4 linked regions of the Pelodiscus sinensis genome follow. The protein of the gene in region 2 interacts with the protein of the main gene of each other region in a pairwise test. Links are inferred from orthologs where the notes say so. Each region holds a gene or a part of one and is shown on either strand. Other genes may lie near its edges. The genes, in order: MTF1, AP1M1, AP1B1 and endosome-associated-trafficking regulator 1-like.

Region 1 (7,685 bases), on a different chromosome or scaffold from region 2:
GCAGTGCGGGTCCCAGCAGACCCGTCACAGGGGTATAATCCCCTTCCCCTCTTCTCCCCTTCCCTTCCCTTTACCAGCTGTGAGCGCCCATAGGGCTCACAGCAGCTCCAACTGTCCAGAGCACTTCCGGGTTCCAGTTGGTGCTAGACTATCAGGAGTGCCGGACCACTGGATGCCGGACAATTGGAGTTTTACTGTACAATGGTAATAGTACCATAACTAGGGTTATGTCAAGCTTCTGTTTTAAATCAGTGTGGCTGATGAAGGTTTAATATTTTAGAAGTTTTAAATCACATTGGGATGGAATTTCACACTTAATTGGGATGCAGAATTTTTCCTAAACCAAACTTGGTACAGCCACAGGAACAGGGAAGTCTGAACATGGGGCAGGAGCATGGTAGAGGGGACCAGCGCCTCAGCTGGAAGCCCAGCACGTGGGAGGGGAGAGCATGGTGAGTAGTTCTAGCCCCAGAAGCCATGGAGCTCCAGCCACAGCCAGGGAGCTGCAACCCCAATGGCAGCCATGGAGCTCCTGCTCCACCCCGGCTGGAGTCCCAGCTACAGAGCCAAGCAGCTGCGGAGCTCCAGCTGTGTTGCTCTGGTCCCGGCAATAGTGGAGCTGACAGCAGCTAGAAAGCCCCAGGGAGCTGGGGCAGCAGTGGGGCCAGGCTGGAGCCCTAGTCCAGTGGCAGCAAGGGCAACAAGAAGAGGGACCTCCCCTGGTCCAGCAAATCCCCTCATTCAGGACCAGTTAGGTCCTGAGGGTGCTGGACAAGGGAGGTCCAAACTGTATTATCATGGTCCCTATTTGCCACAGCTGTCACCTTTTATCCTATAATTAACAGTAACTGCACTGTCATGAAGCATACTGAGTTTCTTTTCACACAGTTGCGGTTACATAATAAGGCATATGGTCTAAGTGAGAGCAGGAGAGCCTGAAACATTCTTAACTCTGGTTGACTCACTGTGTGATCCTGAGTAACTTGTGTAGGTAAGTATCTAAGTACAGAACCTACTGTGCAGTTAAACCTAATGGCTAAGATTTTCAAAACAGTGATGTTGATTTAGGCATATGCTTTCCTTCAATGTGCAGCTAAATACCAACTTGGAAAAAAAATCAACTAATATCTGTGAAGTGCTTTGAGATCACCAGATAATCAGCTCTCAAGGGCAAGTTTTACAATTATAGTTGGTCACTTACTTCTTTACGCTTGGTCTCTGGGCACTCAGATTGCAAAGTGAGAGTAGCTCCTTCGATATTTCTTGGCATGGGAGTTGAACCAGGATTTATAGTCAAATGAATCTGATCTGGAGAAATAATATGTTGAACATAACCCTGGGACATTCCTTCATGATCTTCTATTAAATGAAATCCTTCATGACCCTCTGGTAAAAAAGGCAAGTGATCTCCACATTGTCCTTCATCCTCATCATCTTCTAATGTCCCATGGTCTTGTTCAATTAGAACAGTTGTCCTGTCATAAATTGTCCCAGATGATGAAGGAATTAGACCATTTTTATCAATAAACCTCATCATTTTATCATCTTGGATCAGTTCGTCTTCGTCCCCATCATAGTAGTGAATGCTGTCTTCGGGAGTATTTTCCCCCATGGTTTAATGGAACTTAGTGCAGCATCATGAAATTAAAATGTAACAACTCACCTGTAACAGAGTAGCATAAGTGTAAGAATATCATAATATTTAGACAAGGACTTTTCACCTAAACTCTCAAGGGTGCAAACTAACACGTTTACATTTCTTCTCCCCATTAATTCACTTCCAGAAACCTTACCTTGCTTTCAGAAAAGTAGTGCAGGAAAGTTTTTATTCAGGTGACACAAGAAAATACTTTCAAAGGTGCTCCAAGTCCGCTAAAATACATATGGTATGCGACCTGAAAAAGGGGCCTACAGTTCTTTCAGATTTAGAAGAAACATCCCTCCACTGCGATTGGGGCTTTTCTAGCGAAGTTTATGAAAAGTCACCTGCAAATTACTGTATATTGCCAGAGGTTAATCAGCTGTCTTGAACTGATAAAAAACGAGCAGGAATCTCTTTGGGAGAGGACCGCCTTATTGAAGGGTGGTCAAATATTGGAATAAATTGCCAAGGGAGGTGGTGGAATCTCCCTCTCTGGAGATATTTAAGAACAGGTTAGATAGACATCTGTCAGGGATGGTGTAGACGGAGCTTGGTCCTGCCTTGAGGGCGGGGGGCTGGACTCGATGACCTCTCGAGGTCCCTTCCAGTCCTATGATTCTATGAGCTGTGCCCAGGAACGCTCACGATACCGTTCTAGGTGTGGTGTTGGTCTATAAAGTGCGACCAGACTATGGGTTGTTTTTTAAGCACGCACAGTACCTGGTGCCCCCCATTCCCCGAGCGGGGGGCTCCGCACAGCGCAGCCCGTCCCAACTCCCGAGCCAGAGACAGTCCCCCGCAGCACGTTACCCTCACAGGGCTGCTCCCGGGCGTGTCATCGAAACACGCGGAGAGCGAAGGCGCCCGGCGCCGCAGACCTCGCTCCTCAAGCGCTGGGGAGGCTGCCTCGGGCCGGCGGCGCGAGCTTCGGGCGCCCTGTCGGGGGCCGGGGAGGGGACGCACCAGGGCGGGCCGCGAGCCCCGGCAGCCGGGCAGGGAAGCGGGCGCGCGCCGGGCCCTCGCGGAGCCTGCCTGCTCCTGACAGGGCGGCGCGGGCTGAGGCCGGGCCCCGCGCTCGGCGCTGCGCACTCACGCCCCCCCCCCGCGCTGTCCGGGTCCCCCTCACGTTTGCCTCGCGCTGCAGCCCCGTGCCGGGCCCCCGGGCGGCTGGCTCACCCGAGCGGGCCGGGCTCGGCCGGCGAGCCCCGCACGCGGCCCCCCAGCTCTGGCCGCGCCCCGCTCTCACCAAGCTCCCAGGAGCGGCGGCGTCGGCAACCTCCCAGCAGCACCATGATTACCCACACGCATCACTTCCGCTTCCGGCACTCGCCGAGCGCGCTAACACCCGCCCCTTCCGGCCCCCCGGCCCTGTCCCCGAGGAGGAAGTGGCACGGGGGCGGGACCTGAGAAGAAAAGGAGAGGGAGGCTGGGGGGCGGGGCCAGTTGAGAGGGCGTGGTTCGGTTGACAGCGAGGCTTCATGGAATAAGGGGCGTGGCCCAGAGAAGAGGGCGGGGCCTCATGTAACGGGGCGTGGCCAGCTGGGGCTGGCGAGTGGGGCCTGAGTGTGAGGAATAGGGAGCAATGAGGAGGGATGGATAAGACTGGGACTTTTCAGCTTGGAAAAGAGAGGAGTAAGGGGGGGCAGTGGCTGGGGTCTGTAAAACCAGGGCCGGCCCAAGGTACGGGCGAGGCGGGGTACGGCCGGGGCACCCGATTATAGGGGGCGCCACTTGGGGCTGCCGGGCCGGGCGAGGGAGGCACCGCACATGCTCCGCGCACCAGGAGTGGGGCTACAAATGCGCTGCACGCCCGGGGTGGGGGCTACGCATGCGCCATGCTCTGGGGGCAGGGAGCACCGCACACCCGGGGGCGGGGCTGTGCATGCGTCACACTCCCAGGGGCAGTGCCATGCTCCCGGGGCGCGCGAATGGTTCGGGCCTGCACTGTATAAAACATGAGGGGTGTGAACACTTGAACTAGGAAATCAATAGGCAGCAATTTTAAACCATGCAAAAGGAAGTATTTCTTTGCACAACCCAGTCAACCTGTGGAACTCCTTGCCAGAGGAGGGTTGTGAAGGACAAAACTATAACACGGCTTCAAAAAAGGACTAGATAAATTCCTGGAGTATAGGTCCATGAATGGCTATGAGCCATAAATATAGGCGGAGAGACCATCCCTAGCCTCTGGTGGCAGAAGCTAGGAATAAATTACAGGGAATGTCTACACTGGTTAGACAGGGTATGTCTACACTGCATTCCTCTTTTGAGAGAGGAATGCAAATGCAGCTGAGCGAAATTGCAAATGAAGCGCGGATTTGAATTTCCCGTGCTTCATTTGCATAATAGCATACAGGTGCTTTTTCGAAATACCTTATTTTGAAAGAAAAAGCCCAGTCTAGATGGGGTTATTTTGAGAAAAAATCATTCTTTCAAAATAACCCTTACTCGTTAAAAAATGAGATTTAAGAGTTATTTTGAAAGAATGTTTTTTTTTTTAAATAACCCCATCTAGACTGCATTTTTTTTCAAAATTGGGTATTTTGAAAAAGCGCCCAGATGCAAGAATGCAAATGAAGCATGCGAAAATCAAATCCGCGCTTCATTTGCAATTTCGCTCAGCTGCATTTGCATTCCTTTCTCAAAAGAGGAATGCAGTGTAGACATACCCTAAGTGATCACCTATTCTGTTTGTTCCCTCTAGGGCATGAGGCACCGGGCACTGGCCACTGTTAAGAATGGCCATATTGGGTCAGACCAAAGATCTGTCTGGATCAATATCCTATCTTCTATGTGTTTATGTAAATATTATGAGCCAAATTCTGCTTTCAGCTGATCCTGTATACCCCTACAGCCGTCAGCCCAAATAATTTCAGTTAGATGGTACAAGTGTTATTTATCTACATATGCTAACCCAGAATGGTTTAAAAAAAAAAGAATAAAAAGACTTTGAACTATTTTAGCTAATTAAACGTGGCAAGACAGACAGACACTGAACTTTTAATAGTACTAGCGGTAGAAATGGTTAAGGCTGGCACAGGGTGAACATAGCATACAACCACTCTACATTCCACACATGTCTGTGAAAGTGTCAACCCTCTTTTCACTTATGAGTGTGTCTCCAGGAAACTAAGGGAGCCCAATTTTCTATAGGCTCTGTAAATTCTCTTTGTTCTCCTTAGCATTGACACACAATCTGTATCCTGTGATTGAGATGCGACTTGGCAGTATTTTATGATCTAATATTAATTTTTTACTTGGTATATCATTACACTTGGTATACCATGAGGGCATCAGGTTATTCTCAGTCATTGATTTACATAATTTCCTTTCTCCAAGACCTAAAATAGCTAAGATAAAGTCTTGCTGACCTCAGCCTACAAATTTTGTATTTCAGCTTGTCTTATTCATGTCTGAGGCCATGTCTACACTACAAGATTGGGTCTAATTTATTAAGGTTGATTTATTAGTACACAGTTTTGTAAAATCAAAGGTGCATGTCCCCACTGTGCGCAAAAATTCGATGTAGTGCCTCCCCAGTAGGGTGGCGACCGTTGACTTTGACAGCAATGCGCTGTGAATAGCTATTCCATAGTTCCTGTTGTCCCTTTGCATTCTGGGTTAAGCACCCAATGCCTGATGGGGACAGAAACAATGCCCCGCATAATTCTGGGTCCATATCATCAGCCTCTCATGGTGCACTTATCTCTTCTCCTCCCCTCCCCCGCTTGCAATGGTAAACAATCTATTTGTGCACTTTTTCCCCTGGTTATCCAAGCAAATGCCATAGCAAGGCAAACATGGATCTCTGTTCAGCTGCAAGTTGCTGTGGTAATCATTGCAAACACCTTGCACCTTATGCTGTGTTATATCCAGAATGTAGCCAGGAACACTGTGAGGAAGCCATGAACACAGACACATATGAAACTCTTGAGTGGAACCATTGGCAGATGCTGGCAACTGTTGATCCTCTTGACACAGTGGAACACCACTGGTTCTGGTCCTGTGAAACAAACACAGACTGGTAGGCCATTAAGTTGTGCAGCTATGGGATGATCAGCAGTTTATTGACTAGGTGAGATGTCAGTGAAAGCAACATTCTCCTGTTGTGACAGCCTGCTCTGTGCTCCATAATATCTGTGCAATTAAGGGGGAAAATGTTATGCTGGGAAGGGGGTAGGAGGGGGAGGGGGCAAAGCAGATCACCTAGTTGCTAATTAGGAGCACCCAGGCATTGAGGAGAACATATCAAGGGGCACTGCAAATCAGAGAGGCTTTGAAAAACAGCTTTGTGAATGATCAGACAGCAATATGACAGTCAAGTATGTTGCTCTTAAAGAGGTGCCCCCTGCATTAACTAGTCGGTAAACCCTGTAACTCCTCCTTTCCTGATACAGATACTGCGGTTGAGAAATCATTCATTTGCATTTAGGGAACACAAGGAAGAAGAGACAGAAAAGGAGTTCAGGGCAGGAGCTTTGGTGGGAGGGGGAGGAAGGGCAAATGGTGTATTACAAACACAGGCATGGAAATGACAGCCTTCTGTTCTGGGAGACATCCCTGGGAGTTAGTGGAAAGCTGTCCTTACTTCCACCCTGCATTCTAGGGCACCTGGGAGGGGACGATAGGGAATTTGGTGGAAGGGGCCAAAGCTGGCCTCAGTGCCACCCGGAGCACAGCCCTGTAGGCTGCTCGGAACACACGGCACTCTGGCAGCAATTTAAAAGGTCTGGTGCTCTGGCCGTCGCAGCTGCTGTAGTAGCAGCAGCCAGGAGCCCTGAGTTCCTTTGAATTGCCAGCCCCCAGGACAACTGCTCCCTTTTGCCCCTTCTTACCATTAGCAGGGCCTGCTTGTGAACTATAGAGACCCAACCAGTCTGGCATATGCAGTCTGGGTCTGTGCAGCTTCTAAAGCAAAAGAGCAGAGGAGAGAATTTATTGGAGGATTCACTTTAACCTCCCTTCTCTGGTGCTCTGGGAGCCATTAACCAACTTTGACCTTTAGGCTTGGCGCTATTGAACTGGGGACCTGGAGCTGAAGCTGTTTCATGGTGGTGACCAGTGTTCCCTGTATCTGTGCGCTTGGGCAGCCACTCAGGAGAGATTAAGGTGCCGCCCAGCTGATTAGCAGAGTACCCAGATCACCAACATATAGAAAAATATGGTGGTGCACATTTACACATGCCTTGGTACACATAACATTTATTCTGCACACGGATGAAAAAAATTAGAGGGAACATTGGTGGTTCATTTCTGCTAGAACTAATAATGGCATTATATATAAATCCATCTTTGTTCACAGAGCCACGGATGGGCGGAGGCAGCTCCCCCAGCAAACTTTCTTGTCAGCCTTTTCTGCATGAGAATACAGCACGTACCTCTCCAAGACCTTCTCCTCCCTTTGCACTGAAACCAGCGTGTTTAACGAGGTTCATGGTAATCCCTATGCTATACACTGTGAGCACTAACTTAGCTATTCCCATGAAGATTTCATGTATTTCATGTTGAGGGGAAACTAAGTGAAGCACAGCAACATTTGAACTCATCTGCCGCCTGCATCTTTGCTCTTGGTGAAGCAAAGATGCCTGTGAGACAAGCAGTAAAGACATTAGTAAGAAAATGTTCGTCAGTTTAAAAATCCTGGCCTTGGGTGATTGATGCTAATCACCATCACTGCCAAAAGAGAATATACTGCCCTATTACAGTCAGCTGCTGTGCACCAGATTTTTCCTTGTGCATGCCACAGCTTAGCAGGCAAGTGTAACCCCGAGAATGGAAAAAGGCAAGAATATATTTCAGTGTTGGCTTGATTGTGGAAAGCAGTGATTCTCAAACTTTAGGAACTTGAGAAACTTCATTTTGATTTACATTTTTTCAGACCCCCAAATTCCCCCAACTCAACCCCAGACTGCCCCCACTCCATTCCGTCCATTAATGAAACAAAAGGAAGTACTTCTTTATATAACATTCAGTCAACCTGTGGAACTCCTTGCCAGAGGATGTTGTGAAGACCAGGACTTTAACAGGGTTCAAAAAGAGCTAG
Region 2 (7,672 bases):
TTAAAGAACTTTGATTCCCTTCACTCCAAAATACAAAGGTTGTTAGTTTCTTTTCTCAACTCTATGCTGCCACAAAACTGCAATATAGGCTCCCTAGTCCAGCTCAGCAAGTCATGTATTAATGAAATACATCCTAAAAATCTGCTTCCTCAACAATGCTCACAAAGCTCACAATATTTGAATCTAGCTTTCATGTTGTATCATTTTCTGTGCCTGTTTATTATAAGATTGTCAGTATCCTTGTCCTGTACAGCACAAAATAAACATCAGAAACGAACACTGAAAGATCTTTATATAACCACCTATAATCCAAATATGCCATTTCTGCACAGCACTACATAATTAAAAGATTTCCATATCTACATAAAACATATGTTTAGTTATATGAACAAATATCACTTCCATACTCACCTGAACCACCTTGTAAAGAAATGAAAACACCAGAGAGACACAAGCATTCTTCTTAGAAGTAGCAACAACTGAAAAAGTATGTTCAGGAATTGGAGTTTAAAGTTACACTTTTTAAAAAATGCTTATAATTAAATACATTTTCAAAACGCATTTACTATATTATTACAGCTGGCCCAAATATTAAGGAAGCAGCAATGACATTCCTCTTTCCAGAGTCATTTGATATTGAAAATTCTGGGGTTTATGTTATTTTTGATGGTTTAACTCCTGGGGGCAGAGGACTAAAAATTCAGGAAATACTTATATTAAATTGGCACTTTAACACTTTTATACACGTTACTGGAATAAGGTATGTCATGAAAAAACTCCTATTTATATATTTTTTGCATCTTTGTAAATCTTGATCAATAAAATTCTTAGCAGTAAGCCTGTTATCCTATTACTTCCATTCAAGTACAAATTCTGAAAATCCACCATGTTCATCAGTTTCACCATACTAACAGTTTGACACTTTAAAGGATACGATATAAATTGTTGTGTTTAATCCACATAAAACGTACTCCTCCATGAGCTAGAATGGGAGAAAGTGTTCCCTCCTCCTCTTTTTCCATAAGAATTGGCATGAAGTGCTCCACCTCAGACATATCCACATCTCCACGGTAATTCCGGCAGATGAGGACCTGCAATAGACATGCAACAGAAATCTGAATAGGTTTTAAAAACAAATGCTGAAGTTATCATCTGACACATGGGAAGTACTTTTAGGCAGTGGAACCCCAAAATTCTTCACTAACTGAATGACAAACTGTACATTGAAATCTTTCATTCGCAACTTAAGCATAGCTTTTAGAATCCATTCAGCAGCTATTAAATAGCATGTATCAATTAGGGATGGAACATCATGTTTAATTAGTTAACCAGTTAAACATTAAGTTAACAAGTAAATGATTAAATGGGGGCACACAGTCTAACTCACACTCCACAATCCCACAAGGGCTGGGAGCCAACAGTCCCCCTTTCAGCCCCACAGAGTTGGAATAGCCAGCGGACCTCTTCCAGGTAATGGTTAACCATTACCCAGTAGAGTATCACCCATTAAGGCTACGCCTAGACTACACCTCTCTGTTGACAGAGAGATGTAGATTACGCACATCGAAACTGCTAATGAAGCAGGGATTTAAATATCACACGCGCTTGATTAGTATAAATATGGCCACCGCTCCCGCCCCCCCCCCCTCGAAATTGCCGTTTTTTCAAAAAAGCTCCGTCTAGATGAGGGTCTGTCGAAAATAAACCCTTTTTCAACAGATCCTGTATTCCTCAAAAAATGAGGTTTACAGGATCTGTCGAAAACGGGTTTATTTTCAACAGATCCACGTCTAGACTGCCTTTTTTTGGAAAAAGCTCAGTTTTAAAAAAAAAAAAGCAGCAGCCATATTTATGCTAATGAAGCACGGGAGATTTAAATGCCTGCTTCATTAGCAATTTTGACATGCGTAATCTACATCTCTCTGTCGACAGAGAGGTGTAGTCTAGACGTAGCCTAAGTGTGATGCTTACCTGGTAACCAGTTACCCGTTCACATCCCTAATATCAATGTTGGGAACAGAATATACTTAGATGATAGAACAAAACCTCAGAATGTACTTAAATATGCAGAATCTCATAGACTTTAAGGTCAGAAGGGACCATTATGATCATCTAGTCTGACCCCCTGCACAGTGCAGGCCACAGAATCTCACCCACACCTCTTAGAATAATCCTTTCACCTATGTCTCAGATATTGAAGCCTTCAAATACTTTGAAGACCCCAAGATGCAGAGAATCCTCCAGCTCTGATCTGTGCTCCATGCTACACAGGAAGGCGAAAAACCTCCAGGGTCTCTGACAATCTACCCTGGAGGAAATTACCCCAAATCTAATTACCCCAAAATGGAATACGATGAAATATGGAAAGTTAGCTAAAGTGTCTCTGTAGCTTCAGTTTCCACAAGCAGTGGTGATCTCCATTTCACTTACCCCAAAATCAAACCCACTTCACTTGCATGAGTTTTTATTCACGAAGGAAGAGGATAAAAGGCCCCAGAAGGGAGAGCGGGAGGAGGAAGGGAGCCAGCTACCAAAACCAGCACTTCCTGCACCACTGCAGCTGATCAGCAGCACAAAGTCTAGCCCAAAGCTTCCGGCTGAAGCAAGGCAGCATTCTCGGCAGGCTCCCGGCACGCCTGAGGCCCCAGGGCAGGCTGGAGGAACCGGGGTCCCCACCCCAGGCGGGGGAGGGGGACGCACCGAGCGAGGTGGGGAGGGAGCATGGGGGTGTCAGAGCCTGAGCCCTCCCGCCGGGCCCCTAGGGATGCGGAGGGGCCCGAGCCCAGCGCGGGAACCCCAGGCCAGGCCGCCCCGGCTCCGCACCTTGCCCTTCAGGTCCAGCACGTACACGGCGCTGGCGGACATCGCGCCCCGGCTGCTCGGCGCCGCTGCGGCCCCGCTCCTGGCCGGAAACGCGGCCGCTCCGGCTGCCGCTCTCCACCGGCTAGGCCAGCTGCAGGGGCGGAAGAGGCCTCTGGCAGGGCGGAGGGACACCAGCGAAGGGGGCGGGGCCTTCCCGCGGAAACACGCCCTGCGGCGGAAGCGACTGAGGGAGCGGATGCACCCCCGCCCTTCTGGCCCGCGCTCTCTATGGTCCCCGTCGCCGGGGGGACGCAAAGCGGCGCGCTAGCCTGAGCGGCCCATAGAGAGCTGGAGGAACAGGCTGGCGCCTGGCTTCTTCCCAGGAGGGACATGGCCCTGCAGACCTGGGCCTGGTTCCTAGGCCTGTGGGAGTCTTAGAGGCTAGGGGCAGAAGCAGGTTTTTCTGCCCCTTCCCCCCATCCTCTTGTGGCATGCACTGACCTCACCCCTGTGCAGAATATGCAGTTGCATAAGACACCCCAAAAATGGGGTCACCCCATGGCCCTTCATGTCCACCCACCTGCCTCTTCTTCTCCCCGTCCTGGGGCTCTGCTTCCTCCAGAGAGCATCTAATTAACACGGAAAAAGCCGGCCAGACCTATTATTAGCTTTCATTAGTGTTACTGAAGATTAGAAAATGACCTCTCTAAAAAATCATACACCCAGCTGCCATCGGGTATAGGAGCCTCACTTTAATGGTAGTGTGAAGGATCCCATAAATCTTAAGGGTGGCCCCAATAAAGCCTCCACACACACACACACACACACACACACACACACACACACACACACACACACACACACATCTCTGCCCCCACACACACATCTCTGCTTTTGGTCACTTCTGCTCCTTATTTGGCCTTTTGGATGCCACTAACTGTCCCCCTTTGAAAAAAATAAACAAACGGTCTAATAGCATCTTAAAGACTAACAAAACATGTAGATGGTATCATGAGCTTTCAAGGGCACAACCCACTTCTTCCAATGACAGGAGTATTGGAAGTCCAGATACAAGAATAAATAAAGGAAGAAGGGAGAGAAGGAAAAAAATGAGAGGGAAGAAAAAAAGAGACAGTGAGTAGATAAGCTTCAGAGGAATAGCGGAGTTAAGTCTGTAACAGGAAAAACTAAAAAAACAACAAATAGTGTAATAGCACCTTAAAAGACTAAATAGTTACAAGAGGCTGATAAGACCCATTAGTTTGTACAGTACTTGGAAAGGAAGATGACTAACACCAGATTCTACAGACATAAAAAACCATCATCACCTTCATTGGTTGAACTTAAAAACAACAAATAGTCTTAGTCTATAAAGTGCTAACAAAACATGTAGATGGTATCATGAGCTTGCATAGGCACAGCCCACTTCTTCAGATGACTGTGGTACCTCTGTGTCTTCGTACCTCAGTACCTTCAGTGGTCTGGACTGTCAGTGTCAGGGTCGTCTGGTCAGGGTCGTCCTGGCGCGCTCCTGACAGGACCTCTTCTGCGTTGGTGATGATAAACTTTCGGCTGCGTGCGTAACAATTGGTACTCCCTTTATCTAGAGCGTTAGACCCCGTGCACTTGGGTCAACACAGATCTCTGAGAGGCCCAGGGAACGACAGATGCAGGCAAGGTTTAAAATCAATCGAGCAGGTTTATTTGTCAAATGCAAAGCTCTACGGCTACGTCTAGACTGGCACGATTTTCCGCAAATGCTTTTAACGGAAAAGTTTTTCTGTTAAAAGCATTTGCAGAAAAGAGCGTGTAGATTGGCACGGACGCTTTTGCGCAAAAGCACTTTTTGCAGAAAAGCGTCCGTGCCAATCTAGACGCGGTTTTGCGCAAGAAAGCCCCGATCGCCATTTTCGCCATCAGGGTTTTTTTGCGCAAAACACTTTTTAGCTGTCTACACTGGCCCTCTTGTGCAAATACATTTTTCCCTAACGGGAGAAGCATAGTATTCGCGCAAGAACACTGACAATCTTACATTAGATCGTCAGTGTTCTTGCACAAATTCAAGCAGCCAGTGTAGACAGCTGGCAAGTTTTTCCACAAAAGCAGCTGCTTTTGCGGAAAAAATTGCCAGTCTAGATGCAGCCTACCAGTTGGTAACAGAGATCAGTACAATGTTACACCACTGGGCACTATGGCCCTCGTTGACAAGGTACCAACACCAGGCAGGCCTATTGCCATATATCAGATATTAACCGCAGTTATTCAAAGTTAAGCTACTGTGCACTCTGTAAGTTTAGGCAATGACACCTGCTGTTCAGGTGCCTAGTGCGCCCCCTCCCCCCAAGTTCAGCCGGAGAGCACCCTCTGCGGTGTCCTTTTATAGACAGGTATAAACAACTTACATCATTTCTTTACGTACTGGTTACCACTCTGTTGCCTAGATACCACCCCTCACCTTACGGAAGGGGGGCTTACTTACTATCCTTCATGCTGTCAATTCTGACCTGGTCCTGAACCTAGGTCGATATGTGCATTAGTTTTTAGGGAGTTTTTGTACCAGGACATTCCTTAAGATGTTCCGTTACTCCCTTTTGGTTTACAGTCTGTTCTTGGTGCAGCCCTGTGACCTAACTTACACAATTACACAGTTATCAGTATCTAAGTTACTGAACTAAAGTCTTGCTCACTAGATTGCAGGCCTGTTGCTGTTTTCATGTTACAGACCTTAGGCCTGCTGACTCCATGTTACTGCCCCTCAACTTACTACAATGACCATCTGAAGAAGTGGGCTGTGCCCCTGAAAGCTCATGATACCGTCTACATGTTTTGTTAGTCTCTAAAGTGCTAAGACCATTTGTTGTTTTTTAAGTTTATCCTGTACAGACTAACTTGGCTATCCCCTGAAGCTTCTTCATTGGTTGGTTAGTTAAGTCATTAAGATGCGGAAGATAATGTTCAAGCCATCTGACATCCCTGGATCATACTCTTGGCATAAGAATTAAACTTGTAAATGAAGTTAAGTTCCAACCCTTCTCTGTGTATTTGGCTTGTGGAACTGATTTGAAACAAAATGGCAACTTGGAGATCCATTAATGAGTGTCCAGGAAGATTAAAGTGTTCTCCAACAAGTTTCTGTGTATTGCCTTTTTGGATATCTGATTTGTGTCTATTAATTCTTTTCCATAGAGACTGTCCAGTTTGGCCAATAAATATTGCAATGGAGCATTTCTGTCCCCCTTTGGTCTGGACTGTATCCATTAGTGTCAACCTGCTAACAAATGAAACCTGTACCAAAGGAGCAGGTAAAACAAACTGTCAGGAACAGTATAGAGGCAGGTATTTGATCCTGCCACAAGTGCAGGGGACTTGACTGGACTCAATGACCTCTCAAGGTTGCTTCCAATTCTAGTATTTGATAGCCAATTAGATGTGAGGTAGCAGGAAATGTGATAGCTCTTGGTTTTACAAAGGCCTCTGGCAGGCCCCACATAACATTGTCATAAGCAAGCCAGGAAAACACAGGCTAAATGGAAATAGTATACGGAGTGTTTATGAGAGAGAGAAAAAAACACACTCAAAGCACAATTATCAAAGGTTTGCTGTCAAAGTGGAAGAATATACCTAGCGGGGTCCTTACAGGAGCCAGTCCTGCATCCAGTACTATTCAATATTTTCATCAATGACTTGGAGAATGGAGTGGAGAGTAGGAGTATAAAATTTGCAAATGGCATCATGCTGCTGGAGCTGCAGTTCCTGTCAGCAACTTAGGCAACATCTACACTGCCGGTTATGCCAGCAGTGAGTATGCAAATGAGCACATTCCAGTGTCTCATTTGCAGAATTTATGCAAGGCGTTTTTGCACAAAGGGTTTTTGTGAGGGAAAAAAAAGTAGTATGGACATTTTCTTTTCGCACAAAAACCCATTTTCCCGCCAGATAAGTAAACCTCATTTTTTTGGGGCATAAGGATATGGTGGGAAAAGGTGTTTTTGTGCAAAAAGAATACATCCACACTACTTTTTTTCCCCACAAAAACCCTTTGTGCAAAAACACCTTGAATAAATTATGCAAATGAGGTGCAACAATATACTAATTCATGCCTCATTTGCATACTCACTGCCAGCAAAAATGGCAGTGTAGACATAGCCTTAAAGAGTTTGGGGCTCCAGCCACTGCCACGGAAGCAGTGGTAGTGGCTTTAAGTCCTAGGCCCTTTTAAATTGAAGGGCACTGGGGCAGCTTCCCCCTTTGCCCTCCCCTGTTGGCAGCCCTGTGCAGTAATGGTGAGGCCTCAGCTGGAGTATTGTGTCCAATTGTGTCCTCCAATTTAGGAAAGATGTGGACAAACAAGAGGACGTTCAGAGGATAACAACACAAATGATAAAAGATTTAGGAATACAAACCTATGAGGAAAGGTTAAAATAATATGACCATATTTTATCTTGAAAAAACTGAGAGGGGACCGGACAACACACTTCAAATTTGTTAAGGGCTGTCCAAATTTAAGGATCATGATTAGTTGCTCTGTGTCCACTAAATGTAGGATAAGGAGCAATGGACTTAATCTGCAGTAATAAAGATTTAGATTAGCTATTAATTAAATCTAACCATGTAGTTAAATTCTGGGACAGGCTTCCAAGGGAGGTTAAGCATTCCCTCCATTGCAAGTTTTTGAAAACAGTGAGGCCAAATATCTATCAGGTATAGGCTAAGTTTACTTGCCTGCCACAGCACAGGAGACTGAAGTTGTGGACTACGAAATGTAGGACTGGAAGGGACCTCTATGATTCTATTTATTAACTCCCAAGATTAATGTTAACAATTAAACTATTGCTCCCAATATTGTCATAATTAATTATTGTTTTAATCA
Region 3 (7,293 bases), on a different chromosome or scaffold from region 2:
ATTGCCTCTCCAGGATACAGCACAGCACAGATGGAATCTGGTCACAGAGCTGGGCTAGGATGCCTCAGGCCCCCTTGAGATGGGGGAGACTGGACCCCTAAACTCCAGTCCCTTTCCCTAGGCTGTCTCCTCCATGCTCCCAGACACCAACTAAACTCACTCTCCTCCAGCCCTGCCCCCCCAGCCAGGGCAGCCTTCACCTTCCTTTGTTCCTCTCCATGGGGGGTATCTGGTTCAACCAGTTTGGCATCACCTTTGCATAGTGAGGTTTTCCCTGCTGGGTCTTGCTCCAGACAGCAGGGGTCACCACAGCCCAGCAAGTACCCCCACTACGTCACAGAAGGGGGCCACACGTGCGCATTATAAGGAAACAGACGGATACCAAACTTTAAAGCAACTCATTTTAGTGGAACTCTGTTCTCCTCTCCAGAACACCTGGACAAGGCTGTAAGCAGCCAAGCCTCAACCCTGACAACATGGCTGTGACCCGAGACTTGGTCCCGGCTACTTGAGCAGGCTAGAATGTGAAGCCAGGAATTCTGGGAGTCAAGTTGAATGATGGAAAGAAGCCAGTGACCCTGAGATTCCAGGGCTCCTTCTACCCCAGAGGCAAATGAGAAGCCCTGCCCCAACTCCAGTGCCCGGTTACAGTTTCTTTAACAATCGACTGCCATCCCAAGCTGCGAGAGCTCCTGCTGAGCCTGCGCCGTGGTGGCCCTGACAGCAGCAGGGAACTCGGTGCTCTGTGACTCTAGGCTGCAGAGGTTTGTGTTGCTCACAAACCAGAAACCACAAGTCAGGTGGGAGCCACAAACCACAAGCTCAGGTTTCACTCTAGGAACTCTGCTGAATAACAGCCTGGCTGTTTGGGGCAGAGGGTTAACAGAGCTTACGGTGGACGATGTTGAGCTTTTAATGACGACAGTGCTGACTTTCCAGAGAGAGAGGAGAGGCAGAGAGAAGTGAGCATCTGAGGACAAGCAAGATGGTCTGAAGTCACAAACATGGCGATTAGACCGCTTGGAAAGCCGCTTCTAGCACACTAGTGAGAACAAGTGGAACACTCACAGTGGAATGCTGACTCTGCCCCTGACCTGCAGCAAGTCACAGTAAAGCTCGGTGCCTCAGTTTCCCTTGCAATCCTTCGATTTATCTGCATAGACCATAAGCTTTCTGGGGAAGGGACTGTAGTACTTACTGTGTGTGGGCAGCATCTAGCACACCGGGACTCCAATACAAACAGTAGGGTCTCCTAGGCCTCACCGACCTCCAGGCATTCAGAGACAAGGTAAAGGGCAGGCACCACAGCGCAGTGGTCTCTAAAGCACCACTGAACCCATCAGCCAGAGGAGGCAAGCCCAGCCAGCCCTCAGATCAAGGAACAGCTGCCCTAGACCGTGCTGCTATGCACGCCTCTGGGTGGCAGCGAAATCAAGTTACATCTGACCCGCATCCGACGAGCTGTCGGAATCCTAGAAGGTGAGCAGGGGAGGAGCCCAGCCACAGCAGAACGTACTAGGGATGTAAGCAACTAGTCGACTACCTGATAAGCATGCAGAGACTCAACTAGTCGCTTCCACCACCCTTGCTGCCTGGGGGGCAGGGGAGGCAGAGGCGTAGCATGGGGACCAGGAATCAGCTGTCCCGGCTCTCGCCTGGTTCCCCTTGCTGCAGCTCTGCCTTTTAAATGCATCCGGCACTTAATATACATCTAAAAGGCAGAGCTGTAGAGGGGTCCCACTGCAGCTCTGCAGTTTCCCCCTTCATCAACTAATCGAGTAGTTCATGGAAATTCCATCAACTACTGTAGTTGAGTAACTGCAATTTAACATCCCTAGAACATACACCTCTAGCAGGCAGTTCCACTAGCTGAGCCGGAGTGTGCCAGTTTTCTGCCATCACCAACTCTTCAGTAGCGTTAGCTGCCACAGAACATACACACAGGGCACTTCCTCTCCCAAACCAGCGCTTTGCCGACTGGCAACTTTGCAGCCCATGCCTCTGCTGCTGGAGTAAGGCAGGTAGCGAGTGCCATGTTCCAGTGGCATGCAGAGCCCACCACAGCAGCTGTGAGAAAGCAGCCTATAAGCCACATTTATACCCCAAGAAGCCCAGCTGAGGTCAACGGATTTCTACACGGGACAAGTCTAGCCCTCTCCAACATGAGCATGGAGTCTCGCGTGCCCAGACACCAGTTTTTCCACTGACACAGTCCTTCCCGTAACGATCAAGCTCCCCAAATCCACCAGCTGCTCTGCCCTCAGCTCTGGGAAGCTGTTGAGAAGGGGGTGGCCTGAGTCCTCAGAAAAGCACAAGTGGGAATGGGGAAAGAAGCCCCCAAACCCTGCAGAGAGCAGGGCTCACAGCTGGGGATATAACCAGTTAACCAGTAAGCATCGCCCTCACTGGGGGATACTTACCGGCTATGGATAACAGGCAGGGGCAGGAGCAAGCAGGGAATTGCTCAAGCCCGGTGGGGCCGTGGCCAGGAGGTGGGGCAGCCCCCCTCCTCAGCAAGCTTGGGCAGGGGCACTGGATAGTGTTTAACCCATGGGATTTTACATCCCTAGTCGCAGCAGTAGCCTCCGGCCCCGCCGCCGGGAGACACCTGCAGGGGGAGGCGGGGCAGCCTGCGCTGCAGCAAAGCCGGAGAGGCCGCGCAGGAGCGCACGGCTCGCCCGCAGATGTGACCGCAGGAGGCGGATCGATGCGGCCCTGCCCGGACGGGGAGTCGCCGCCTGTCGCCCAGGCAGCCCCGACCCACCGGCCCCGCAGCCCCCGCAGCGCGGCGCCGGGAGCGGGAAAGCGAAGGAGCCGCAGCCGCTCGGGCGAGCCCCCGGGGGCAGCACTGGCCCGAGGACGGCTCGGCTCGGCGCGTGCGGCCGGGATCGGGGCCCCCCCACCTACCGCTCGCGGCTCCCTGCGCTGCCTGCGCCTCCAGCGGCCCCGCGGAAGTGAGCGCCCGGGCGGGGAGCACTTCCGGGGCAGGGGCGGGGTGTCACGTGGGGTAGGAGCGCGCGGGCAGGCAGGTGAGGAGGGGCGGGGCGTCACGTGGGGCAGGAGCGCGCGCGGGCGGGCAGGTGAGGAGGGGCGGGGCGTCACGTGGGGCAGGAGCGCGCGCGGGCGGGCAAGTGAGGAGGGGCGGGGGCTGAACGGTCGGGCCTCTCTCCCAGCCGAGAGGGGGCGGGGCGCTGCGCTGCGCGTGGCTGGGGGCGGCGCGTTCTCTGCCCCGGCCGTTGGGCGCGCGGGCCCGGCCGCGGCTGCTCGTCACGTGCAGGGCCCCGCGCGGGATCCGGCTGCCCCCCCCCGCCCGGGCCCTTGCTTGCGGGAGAAGCGCCCCCCCCCCGGACCCCCCCCCCCCGAGCGGCGCCGGCAGGTCAGCGCCCCCCCCCCCCCGAGCGGCGCCGGCAGGTCAGCGCCCCCCCCCCCCGAACGGCGCCGGCAGGTCAGCGCCCCCCCCAGGGCCCCCCCCGAGCGGCGCCGGCAGGTCAGCGCCCCCCCCAGGGCCCCCCCCGAGCGGCGCCGGCAGGTCAGCGCCCCCCCCCCGGGCCCCCCCCGAGCGGCGCCGGCAGGTCAGCGCCCCCCCCAGGGCCCCCCCCGAACGGCGCCGGCAGGTCAGCGCCCCCCCCCCCGGCCCCCCCCGAGCGGCGCCGGCAGGTCAGCGCCCCCCCCAGGGCCCCCCCCGAGCGGCGCCGGCAGGTCAGCGCCCCCCCCGAGCGGCGCCGGCAGGTCAGCGCCCCCCCCAGGGCCCCCCCCGAGCGGCGCCGGCAGGTCAGCGCCCCCCCCGGCCCCCCCCGAGCGGCGCCGGCAGGTCAACGCCCCCCCCAGGGCCCCCCCCCGAGCGGCGCCGGCAGGTCAGCGCCCCCCCCCAGGGCCCCCCCGAGCGGTGCCGGCAGGTCAGCGCCCCCCCCCCAGGGCCCCCCCCGAGCGGCGCCGGCAGGTCAGCGCCCCCCCCCCGGGCCCCCCCCGAGCGGCGCCGGCAGGTCAGCGCCCCCCCCAGGGCCCCCCCCCGAGCGGCGCCGGCAGGTCAGCGCCCCCCCCGAGCGGCGCCGGCAGGTCAGCGCCCCCCCCAGGGCCCCCCCCCGAGCGGCGCCGGCAGGTCAGCGCCCCCCCCAGGGCCCCCCCCGAGCGGCGCCGGCAGGTCAGCGCCCCCCCCGGCGCCCCCCCCGAGCGGCGCCGGCAGGTCAGCGCCCCCCCCAGGGCCCCCCCCGAGCGGCGCCGGCAGGTCAGCGCCCCCCCCGGCCCCCCCCCCGAGCGGCGCCGGCAGGTCAGCGCGCCCCCCCCCCCGGCCCCCCCCCGAGCGGCGCCGGCAGGTCAGCGCCCCCCCCGGCCCCCCCGAGCGGCGCCGGCAGGTCAGCGCCCCCCCCGGCCCCCCCCGAGCGGCGCCGGCAGGTCAGCGCCCCCCCCCCCCCCGAGCGGCGCCGGCAGGTCAGCGCCCCCCCCCCCGGCCCTCTCCCCGAGCGGCGCCGGCAGGTCAGCGCCCCCCCCCGAGCGGCGCCGGCAGGTCAGCGCGCCCCCCCCGCCCCCCCCGAGCGGCGCCGGCAGGTCAGCGCCCCCCCCCCCCGCCCCCCCCCGAGCGGCGCCGGCAGGTCAGCGCCCCCCCGGCCCCCCCGAGCGGCGCCGGCAGGTCAGCGCCCCCCCCGAGCGGCGCCGGCAGGTCAGCGCCCCCCCCCCCCCGGCCCTCCCTCCGAGCGGCGCCGGCAGGTCAGCGCCCCCCCCGCCCCCCCCCCGAGCGGCGCCGGCAGGTCAGCGCCCCCCCCAGCCCCCCCCGAGCGGCGCCGGCAGGTCAGCGCCCCCCCAGCCCGCCCCCCCTTGTCCCCCCTTGCTCCTCTCGCCCCAGGAGCCCACCGAGCCCTTCTGACCGGTGTCCGTACTGTCCCACAGGCGTGTCGGGGAGGCTCCTGTGTGGATTTGCGCAGTCCCTAGGCAGTTCCCTTCCCCCCCCCCGGGCCCAGGGCTTCACGCCGTGCGGTGCCTGACCCGATGCCTGCGGAGACCCCCGAGGAGAGCTTGAAGCGCCTCGGCGCAGGTCATCGAACGGACTCCCGCAGGGTCTGCAAGACCTTCCAACCAAGGACTAAACGAGAGCGACGCCAGACTCAGGTTACTTCAGCGCTTTAACCCGCGGCACCGCAGCCAGCGTCTGAGGAGCGCCCGGGCCGGCATGGGGCATGGGTCCATGTCGAGGCACTCTGTGCGTTGGGGCGACACACGGTCCCCAGCACCGAGCGCTCAAAGAAGGCACGAAGAGGGAGATCACCTTCGAGACGGGTCGGGGCTGCGTCTGCGAGGGGGACGCCCCGAGGCTCCATTGCCGCTCCCGCGCACCATCGGTACAGGTCGAGTCCCGCGCAGGCGAGTAGCCCTGAGGGGTCCCACAGCCGTCAACCCCGGATTTGTTTCTGGCGGCCCGGGAATAGATTGAACTTACATCTTCCCTGGGCCCGACGCTGTGTGGTGCGGAGGGGCCAGGAGCGACAGGGACAGGATGGTGCCACTTCCTCCTCTACCGGTGTGGAAGTCTGGTCCGGCACCGTCTGTAGTGATGGCACAGAGGAACCGGGGCTGGTACAGAGTGCAGCCCTCCCGGCACCGATGCTTTCAGCACCGGAGCGTGTGACTGCCCCCTTCGGCACCGGCGCACTGAGGGAAACCGGCGGCCATGCCACACCACTGCCAGCACTGGGAGCAGGCAGCTTCTGCAGCACTGCCGTGGTCCACATCCGAGTGCTCCTCAGTCGCACATGGAGTTGATGACATCTAGGGCATCTTCAGACGGCTCCTCAAAGTGACGCTGGTCAAGGTCTCCGCACCGGTCCCAGCACTGATCCTGCTCGCAGTGCCACTCAAGGAAGGCCAGTCTGTCTCCATCACAGACTCGGCCCCCACAGTGACAGCTGCCTGCCCAATGGCCTTTTTGGATCCTCTGGCCATATCATCAGACCCAGGGGCACGGACCCTCGGGGTTGGCCTTGGGGCTTAGGGCTGCACCTTCGGCCACCCCACTCATGCGGGTTCCACTGTCGGAGTCCAGGGCCAGTCCTTCGGGGTCAGCAGGGAACCCCTCTGCCCCTTCCCCCTGCCCTCCTCAGCCCCCTTGAAGTGCCCCATGCTCAGCCCTTTCTCCAGCCCCTCCTCCCCTGCCTCCTGCTCAGACCCCTCATGTCTGTTTTTCATAAGAACTAGGTAGTTCTTTGCATCCATGCAGCCAAAGGTGCTGCCTCCCTTTTGGGTATATCAAGATTCTCTCCCCTTCCCCCTCCCTTCGCCCCAAGGCCGGCGAAGAGCAGAGCTGGCTTCTAGGCATTGCAGGGGCCAAAAGGAGCCAAGCTCTTGTTATGCTTAAACTTTCAATCCCAACACTCTTTCACGTGACCCTTTTCTTTGTTCTTCTGCAGGGCCCCCTCTGGGACCGGGGCAGGGATGTGCAAAGGAAGGGGCTGCTGCCCTGCCGTCGCTGACTTCACTGCCGTTTGGAAAACTGCACCCCTAGGGATGCTGCTGGAAAGCCCTTTGTGAGGGTAAGAGTCCTTGTCCTCCCCCTGGCCAGAAGGGTACGATCTGGTGGATAGACCGGGCAGCACTCCTTCAGGCAGCCCCACGTGCCGCAGGGTCAGGCGCCTCTATGCCGCACTGTTGGACGCTTAGCCTGGAAAATGCAGCGGTGGAAGAGCTGGGACCCCCTTGAGTCCCAATTTATTTAACATCAGAGCAGCCAGACGGGGTCAGACCAAAGGTCCATCAAGCCCAGGGTCCTGTCTGCCCACAGTGGCCAATGCCAGGGGCCCCAGAGGGAGCGGCCTGGCCGGGCCCCTGGACAACCATTGCCATTCCTTGTGGTGGTGAAGCCATTTCACAGGCATTGCCCGCCCCAAGGTCAGTTTCAGAAGGTGCTGGTGTAGTTACAGGACTCACTAGGGATTGAGAATAAGACAGAAAATACCTTATTGCCTCTATGTAAACCCATAGGCCTCCCACAGCTTGAATACGGCGTGCAGATGTGGTCGCCTCATCTCCAAAAGATCTCTTGGCATTGGAAAAGGTTCAGACAAGGGCAACAGAATGATGAGGGGTTTGGAACAGGTCTCATATGAAGAGAGAGAAACAAGACGGGGACTTTTTAGCTTGGAAAAGAGGAGACTACATGGACTATGATGGGGGGGTCTATAAACTCATGACTGGTGTGGAGAAAGTGAATAAGGAAAGGTTCTGGACTTGTTCCCATCATATAAGAATGAGGGGTCACCCAATGAAATGGATAGGCAGCAGGTTTCAAACAAACCAAAGGAAGGT
Region 4 (7,607 bases), on a different chromosome or scaffold from region 2:
AAGTGCTGAGAGGATATAAAGAGCTTTCCCTTTGTTGTAACCCAGTGCAAAAGTGCCCAGAACTTGGTTCTTTGCATTCCCCAAGCCACCAATGGGGCATGGGAACGGGAGGAGGATCAGGTGAGATACATGGAGAACTGAGGCCCAGCCAGGTAGGAGTGTAAACTTCTGTCTGGTAAAGAGTAACAACCCCTTCTGGTGTACTCTGTCCCAGCTCCCATGAAAGAGCTCTGGTTGAGTCAGCCAGGACATCTGCAGGGCCTCCTGCTGGTACAGAGCCCCAGTGCAACCCCTGTCCCAATGTGGGCTCAGGTTTACTATAGCCCAAAGCCAGCAAAATATCTTGACACAAAACCTCCGACAAGGGCAGGACAAAGAATTAATTCTCCCAGCATGTGAGCACCCGCGGCCAACACCTCATTAGCACATGGAATTCATATTTAATTACAATAAAAGTACTTCTGGAAGGGATAAAGGCCACCTATTTGAAGACATGCAATGTTTCAGCATATGACAGCAAACATTTTCAGTCCTGACCGCTGTCTGGGAACAGTTTGATCTCAGGCCAGACACTCACAGGTGGATGTGCCTAAGTGCTTTTTCATTCATCATCTTCCTTTTTGATTTCAGAAATCTTGTCTATGGATTTGAGGAGGTCAGCCACAAAATGCAGCATTTCCGCTCCCGAGACCAGCTGTTTGATTGACAAGTGCGCATTGGCTATAACCCGGCAGAGATTCTGCAAGGCAACATCTACATTTTGTTTCACTGCCCCCAGGCTGGCAGATTGGCCTGTGCGCAGAGTGTCATTCTCTGTCTTGGAACTCTCCAACTCCACCTGGAGAAGGGACATTTCCTGCTTCAGCTTTGCAATCTTATTTTCTGCCTTCATGGCCCTCTGGGTCATCAACTGCAGATTCCGTTCTGCCTGCTGGACAATGGATTCTAAACCCTGAGCCTCTTTCTCCTCTTTGACCACGCTGGCTCTCAGTCTTCTCTCAAGGTTTCTCACCAAGCGTGTCTGATTTTCTGAGAAGCTCTGGATACTTTTGATCTTCCTTCTGAGCATGGAATTCTCCTCTCTGAGCTCTTCGTAGCTCAGCTGCAGAGATGGATACTCCCTGTCTCCTATGGAATCTTCCCGAAGAGCACAATTCTCAGGCGCCTTGTCATGAGCTGTGCAGGAAACATACAAGTTGCTAGGATGGCAGCAGGGAGCAAATGTCTCAATTTCAAACTCTTGGGCTGTGGTGTGATATAAAGAATCATGTGGACTACATGGTCCCATGGAGGCAAACCTGGACTTGTGGACTCTTTCAGCAGCAGGGTGGTGATAACTCCCACTCCAGTCATCATCCTCATCCTCTGATAAGGTACCAGCCATTGGTAGGTCTTTGTAAAATGGCTCCTGAAATTCCAAGCTCAAGCCCAATGCTTCTGGAGATAAGGAATCATCTTCGAGGCCTAGGTTGTGTCTGGCCAGTTTCTTTGCAAACATTCTATTTTTCAACTCTTCCTCCTTTGCGATGCCACGAGTCTTCGTTTTTACAAATCCCTTTAAGGAACATGGAATAGCTCCATCTGGATCTTCCAGGTGATGGTCCCCTGAACTGATGGGGCTCTTAGTATGGGCTGGAGGAGGTGGAGGGAGATGGGGGTAACAGCATATGGGTTCCTCCTCCTCCTCGTTATCTAGGCTTTGGGACTGTGGACAGGCCCTCTCCAATGTCCCTGAGAGAAGGGGTCGTGGCATTTTTGAGGGGCTGTGGGCCTCCAAATGAAATAGCAGTCTGCAAATTAGCTCAAGCACTGGGTAGAGCCCTTCTCTGACAGGACTGCCTGTGCTGCCCACTTTTGTGCCATCCTCTGGAGCAGCTGTCTTAGCCTCAGCACCATTCGAAGTGCAGCAGTGGGTTACAGAAGTATCTGTACTTAAATCATCGCCATGTGTGCATGTGCCTGTGGCTTTAATAATGGAGGGAGCAGAAGTCACCTAGGTCTGTGATGTCATCAGACAAGTGCATTTCATGTTGTGACTTCGCAGCCAGGGGAAAGAGAAACAGCCAGACCAACGTTCACAGCATTTCAGCCAATGAGGCTAAACTATACAAATAACTGTCAAGAATATGAAAAGCCGGGTCACCTGTGATAGCCCCGTTCCGTACCCTGGGACTCGATGCCATGGGGTTGTTCATTAACAGACTTGACTGTGTGCGCGCGTGTGTGTTAGAACCCAGGAACTGACGCAGGCTCAGGACAAGAACAGCAAAGCCATCTGGGATCTGGGCAGTGGGAATAAGGTTGGGGAAGGATTCAGAGGAGGAGCCTTAAGGTAAAGGGGATCATGTCTAATGGGCAGAACCAAAGGTCAGCCCAGGGATCAGGGCAGAAGGATCTCATGGCAGGAAGATAAGGTCACTGAAGACTACACAACATGGGGATTTAGGCCAGCAGGACTGGTTGTAAGGCATGAGATGAGGATGATCATGGCAAAGGAATAAGGCCACAAAGATGAGGAGGGACGTTCATGGGAGGAGAGGATTGAGGCGAGGGGAAGCATTTGGAGCTGATTTTAATAAAAACATGCACTGTGTCAAAATGGGCATTATCGGCTATATGATAATATGATCATTTACCAATATCACTTATCAGCTACGTGACACATGAGGAGGAGAAGAAAATAGCAGAAGGAGCCAAATGGTTCCCCAGAGACAAAATAAAACACATTTAATTTCTAACGGCCTTATAGCTACACACAACCATCGAACTGCAGTCATCTCTTGTAGGGCAGGTGGGACGATGGCAGCCAACTGGGGCGCGAGGCACTGCACCACAGGGAAGGAGAGGGCATAATGCCTGAGAGAGTGTTTCCCAAATGGTGTTCCACGAAACCCCGGGATTCCGTGAGTGAAAATAAGGGCTCCGCGAGAAAATTCCGTTACAATAACATTTTATGATTAAAAAAAAATAATAATATTATGTGATTTTTGTTTTTAAATATGTGCAATTAAACTAAATGTTGATCTCATGACCTTGTTTAGCATTTGTTTATTATTATCCTTACTTAGTTGTGGTCTACTTTTTCAGCTCCATATATTAGACTGTTAGGGGTTCCACAACATTCTTTCGAGTTTAAAAGGGTTCCGTGGCCAAATAAAATTGGGAAACACTGGCCTGAGGGCACAGGCGCACAAGTCTGCTCATGCAAAAAGTGCCCAGGGGTTTACTGCCCATGGAGAGAGAGGAAGCAGGAAGCATAGGGACTGGTGCCTGTGGGGAAGGGGTACAAGGAGGGCCACACAGAGGAACAGGGAGGGGGCATTAGGAGGTATCCCATTATGATTTTGACAAGGGCCAAGGGAGGCAGAGCACCTCGCAAGTGCTACCACGAGTCGCCTATGACAGGAAGGTCTCATCTAAAACACCTCTGGCCCCAGTTTAATTACCTCCAAAGGATGAAGGGCTGACTCTAGGATTCAACCCAATGGTTCTGGAGGGAAAAATAATGGTGATTTACATACCTGATGCCTCTGAGAAAAACAGTGACCTCCGCTCTGCTAGTAGGGGTCACAGACTATGCTGCTTGAAGATGATCATCTTAAGCCTCTGAGGGCTACAGGAGTACAAGCCCCACACTGAGCATCGCTCTTGTAACTCACCCTATATGTGCTATCCGCTGGGTATGAACCCTAGATCTTCAGGACCTATAAGCCTGGTCTGCTGCCATGTGATTGCCACAGCTACAGGACTGACTCCCCACATTTAGCTGACCCACTGACCTCACACATGTGCCATCCACCAGAGGGAAACAAAGACTCCATGTGTGGGTTACACTTAAACCACTAAGCCACCCTGTCTTGTCCTGATTTCATCCACGGCCTAAACCCCCCTCACATACTCTCTTCCAGCCCCCCAAGTTAATTCTCTCCCTCCTAGGTCTTGCATTTGGGGGTGATAAATAATGTAACAGATCTGTGGCCAGCAAGGATTTCCTGGTTGCCATTTTGCTATGCACTTCAGCTATGCCTGTGCAAGGAAACTTCCTTACCGTAATTTACCACTGGTGCACCACCCTCTATGACTGCAGTGGTGACAGCACAAGCGTGTAAAAGGCACAGATATTTTTACCGCTGTGTTGTCTAATCCTACTCTGAACCCTATAGTACAAAGCACTCCTGCCAGTGCTACTATTGCTGGAGCTGCCCGGCTGGTGAAATACAGATATAGAATTTGAACATGTGGAAAAGACCTGTGGTTCTTTGGACCATCACAGAAAAATGGGCATAGAACTATGGAACTGCACATAGAACTCAGATCCCATCATCTTAATTATTTGTTTAATAAATGAACTGGAAAAAGGAGTAAACAAAGAGGTGGCAAAGTGTGCTAGTATACAAAACTACTCAAGATAATTAAATCCAAAGCAGAGGGTAAAGAATTACAAAGATCTCTCATAAAACTTGGTGACTGGGCGACAAACTGGCAGATGAAATTCAATGTTGATATGCAAAAAAATTAACTCCGGAAAATATAACCCCAGTTATACATACAAAATGATGGGATCTAAATTAGCTGCTACCACTCCAAAAAGAGATCTTGGAGTCATTGTGGATGGTTCTCTGAAACCATCTGCTTAGTGTGCAGTGACAGACAAATAGCTAACAGAATGTTCGGATCTATTAGGAAAGGGATAGAAAATAAGTTTGTAAATATCATAATGCCACTTTATAAATCCATGGTACACCTCCCACTTTGTATAATGCAGGCAAGTCTGATTTGCCCAATCTCAAAAAAGATAGTTTAGAAATAGAAAAGGTGCAGAGGAGGGGAAAAAAAATTAAGGGTATGGAACAGCCTCCAGGTATGGAGATATTAAAAAGTCTGGGACTGTTCGACTTGGAAAAGGGACAATTAAGAGGAGATATGCTAGAGGTCTGTAAAATCATGAATGGTACGGAGAAAGTGAAAGTATTCTTACCCCTTCACATAACACAAGAAAGCAAGAACACCCAATACAATGAATAGGCAGCAGATTTAAAACAAAAGAAAATACTTTTTTGCATAGGCAACCTGTGGAACTCATTGCTAGGGACTGCTGTGAAGGGCAAAACTATAACTGGGTTCAAAAAAGAATTAGATAAATTCATGGAGGACAGGTCCATCAACAGCTATTAGCCAAGATGGTCAGGGATGCTTTGGATGTCTATAGGCCTCTGAATGCCAGGAGCTGAGACTGAATGACATGGGATGACTGAGCTCAATCAATAATTGCCCTGTTGTGTTCATTCCTTCTGAAGCACCGGCACAGGCCATTGTTAGAAGACAGAATACTGGGCTAGCTGGATCATTGATCTGACCTGGTATGGCTATTTTTGTGTTATGTTGTTCTTATGCATCTCGACAATACGCGGAGGTCCCATTGTGCTACATGCTGTACAAACACGAATGAAGACAGAGCCCCTACCTCAAACATCTTACAATCTGAGAAGAAACATGACAGGTGGAAGGTGAGCGGAGGAAGGAAGCTGCAATCAACTGTGCACTATTTTTGCACATGCACGTATGCCTTTTCGTTCCATAATTATAAATAGATGCCAGCAAACCCCATCTGCCCTCCAAGCCTTCATTAATTGACTGATTTCGTTAGGCATCCCATTCTCTGGTGCCCAAAATGGGATTTTATTGACAGACCTTTGCCTGGTTTGTATTTTGGGGTAGCGTGAGGGGGAACTCTTTTCCTTGAAGCCCTGGGGATGGAGATGGGGGGATATGAAAACAAAACAAAATGATTTGAAGTGAAACCAGCGCAGTGTGTGTGACTCAGAGCTATTCATAGCTCCCTGAAGCCAGCTGCAGCAACAGAGCCAGAAGGGCTCTGCCCGTATTATTATTCCAATTACCATCTGAATTAAAAGTTTGAGCAGTGATCAGCCCACATACTGAAGGGAGGGAGGGAGAGAGGGGAAGAAAATACAGCTAGAGAGGGACGCACACAAAGTCAGAGGGAAAGATGCAAAAAGGTTAAAGCAGCTTAGCCACCTCTGGCTTTTGCCAGCTCCCACGCCTCTTCCCTCCCCTCACCCTGCCCCGCCCTGACACGCACAACCCATGTTAATTGAGGCACCATTTGCATGGGTCATGCAAAGATCATGCTGAGAATAACTAGACACATACTCCAGTGTTCCCTGTGACTCTTTGCGGAGAGGAGAAGCAATAGGTGATGGCTGAGAGAGGGAATGTGGCAGGTGTTGGGGCAGATGTTAACTTGCTAATGGCTTCCAAAACTGGGGGAGAGAGAGCAAGCGAAACATCGAGGTAGGCTAGGATCTGGAGAGACAGATGAGATGGGGAGAAAGAGATGGAGAGAAAGAAATAGAGAAAGGAGCAGAAGTGCAAAGAGAGAGAGAGAGAGAAAGTTTTGAAGACAGAGAAGGGGGAAAGGGAAGAATAAAGGGCTTTGTCTCAGACCCCTGTTGCACAATGCATGCTTGACTAGAAGGGTGCAAGTAACCGTCAGTCATCTCTAGAAGAGTGACCCAAGAGATGCACTGTCCTGTGTGCCTAGCATGCGTGAGGGGCACAGGCCCAAATGCCATTCAGCTGCACCACTGTGCCCGCTAACATCCATGCAGAAAGAGTCACATTTGACAGACCCAGTAGTGCCATGGCTCGATCGCTTTTTAAAGCACGAAACGGAATTCACATTGTGGGGGTAAAATTGGTGCGCATAGTCTTCTAAAAATGGGCACCTTACCTAGGTCAGTTCCTTTATTTGGCACCTTCCCCTCCAAAAGCAACTTAAAAATAGAATTAAGTTAAAACGGTTCAAGAGAATTTTAAGTTGCACCTTCTCTGTGCCACACACAGGAGAAATTGTTATTGCCCTTTCTTAGTTGTATTTTGGGAGTGCTTAGAGGCTAGGGTTAGTCTTCCAGGCACTGGGCAACCCTACAAAGACACAGGACCAATCCTGAAGACTTTACAATCTAAGGTTGCCACTGGCTCATGGGTTCTTGAGGGACTCTGAGCATTGCTTGGATAGTCCATTGACAGATGGAAAATAAGCACATTTGTGATGTGACAGTGATATTGAAAGCATATTAAGGATTAGCACCACTGCTGGTAGAGCTCAGAATTGACTTCAATGAAGCTCTTTCTATTTACATCAGTGAAGGATCGGGCACTGTATCTTAAAGATATTCAAATGCTTACAAGAGGCTACTCTCTGGCTGACCATAGTAATTCCAAGGGCCTGTAGAAATAGCCTTTTGAAGCTTAACAATCATTAGGGCCACTTTTTGTCTGTCTTGTCTACTTAGATTGTGAACTTTTGAGTGGGGCAGCAGGAAGTGTCACTCTGTGTGTACAGAGCACTTAGCATAACAGAACCCCGACCACTGGTCATTTATTACTAATAAATACGTTTCTTGGTTGGGAAATTTGCAAAAAGGACATTCATCTCATTGTTCCATGCTGCTAGGAAAGGATTCCTTCTCTCCTTGGCAGTCATGGTTTGCACTTGCTTTAGATTAGGGATGTTAGTGAGTAGTAGACTAGTCAACTACCCGATAAGCCTAAATTTATCAGGTAGTCGAGTGGAGTATCAA

What was found.
Region 1: the proteins of AP1M1 (region 2) and MTF1 interact in binary tests that used the Homo sapiens proteins (3 or more experiments, as listed by UniProt). The two-hybrid records come from large-scale screens. The link is inferred for Pelodiscus sinensis from reciprocal best matches to the Homo sapiens genes AP1M1 and MTF1.
Region 3: the proteins of AP1M1 (region 2) and AP1B1 interact in a two-hybrid assay, tested with the Homo sapiens proteins (2 studies listed by BioGRID, with this or other methods). The link is inferred for Pelodiscus sinensis from reciprocal best matches to the Homo sapiens genes AP1M1 and AP1B1.
Region 4: the proteins of AP1M1 (region 2) and endosome-associated-trafficking regulator 1-like interact in binary tests that used the Homo sapiens proteins (3 or more experiments, as listed by UniProt). The two-hybrid records come from large-scale screens. The link is inferred for Pelodiscus sinensis from reciprocal best matches to the Homo sapiens genes AP1M1 and ENTR1.

Annotation. Positions count from the first base shown.
Region 1 is NC_134735.1:10,618,860-10,626,544, forward strand, and holds the start of MTF1 (metal regulatory transcription factor 1), read right to left. Parts: upstream 3,016-7,685; 5' UTR 2,889-3,015; exon of another isoform or gene 2,819-2,888; intron 2,749-2,818; exon of another isoform or gene 1,794-2,748; intron 1,664-1,793; 5' UTR 1,613-1,663; coding exon 1,202-1,612; intron 1-1,201. UniProt on the Homo sapiens protein: Zinc-dependent transcriptional regulator of cellular adaption to conditions of exposure to heavy metals. Binds to metal responsive elements (MRE) in promoters and activates the transcription of metallothionein genes like metallothionein-2/MT2A.
Region 2 is NC_134729.1:31,353,857-31,361,528, forward strand, and holds the start of AP1M1 (AP-1 complex subunit mu-1), read right to left. Parts: upstream 3,010-7,672; 5' UTR 2,866-3,009; coding exon 2,824-2,865; intron 2,454-2,823; exon of another isoform or gene 2,431-2,453; intron 1,092-2,430; coding exon 935-1,091; intron 480-934; coding exon 412-479; intron 1-411. UniProt on the Homo sapiens protein: Subunit of clathrin-associated adaptor protein complex 1 that plays a role in protein sorting in the trans-Golgi network (TGN) and endosomes.
Region 3 is NC_134725.1:5,452,880-5,460,172, reverse strand, and holds the start of AP1B1 (AP-1 complex subunit beta-1), read right to left. Parts: upstream 3,004-7,293; 5' UTR 2,908-3,003; intron 1-2,907. UniProt on the Homo sapiens protein: Subunit of clathrin-associated adaptor protein complex 1 that plays a role in protein sorting in the late-Golgi/trans-Golgi network (TGN) and/or endosomes.
Region 4 is NC_134711.1:91,806,107-91,813,713, reverse strand, and holds endosome-associated-trafficking regulator 1-like, read right to left. Parts: upstream 3,002-7,607; 5' UTR 1,754-3,001; coding exon 602-1,753; 3' UTR 423-601; downstream 1-422. UniProt on the Homo sapiens protein: Endosome-associated protein that plays a role in membrane receptor sorting, cytokinesis and ciliogenesis. Involved in the endosome-to-plasma membrane trafficking and recycling of SNX27-retromer-dependent cargo proteins, such as GLUT1.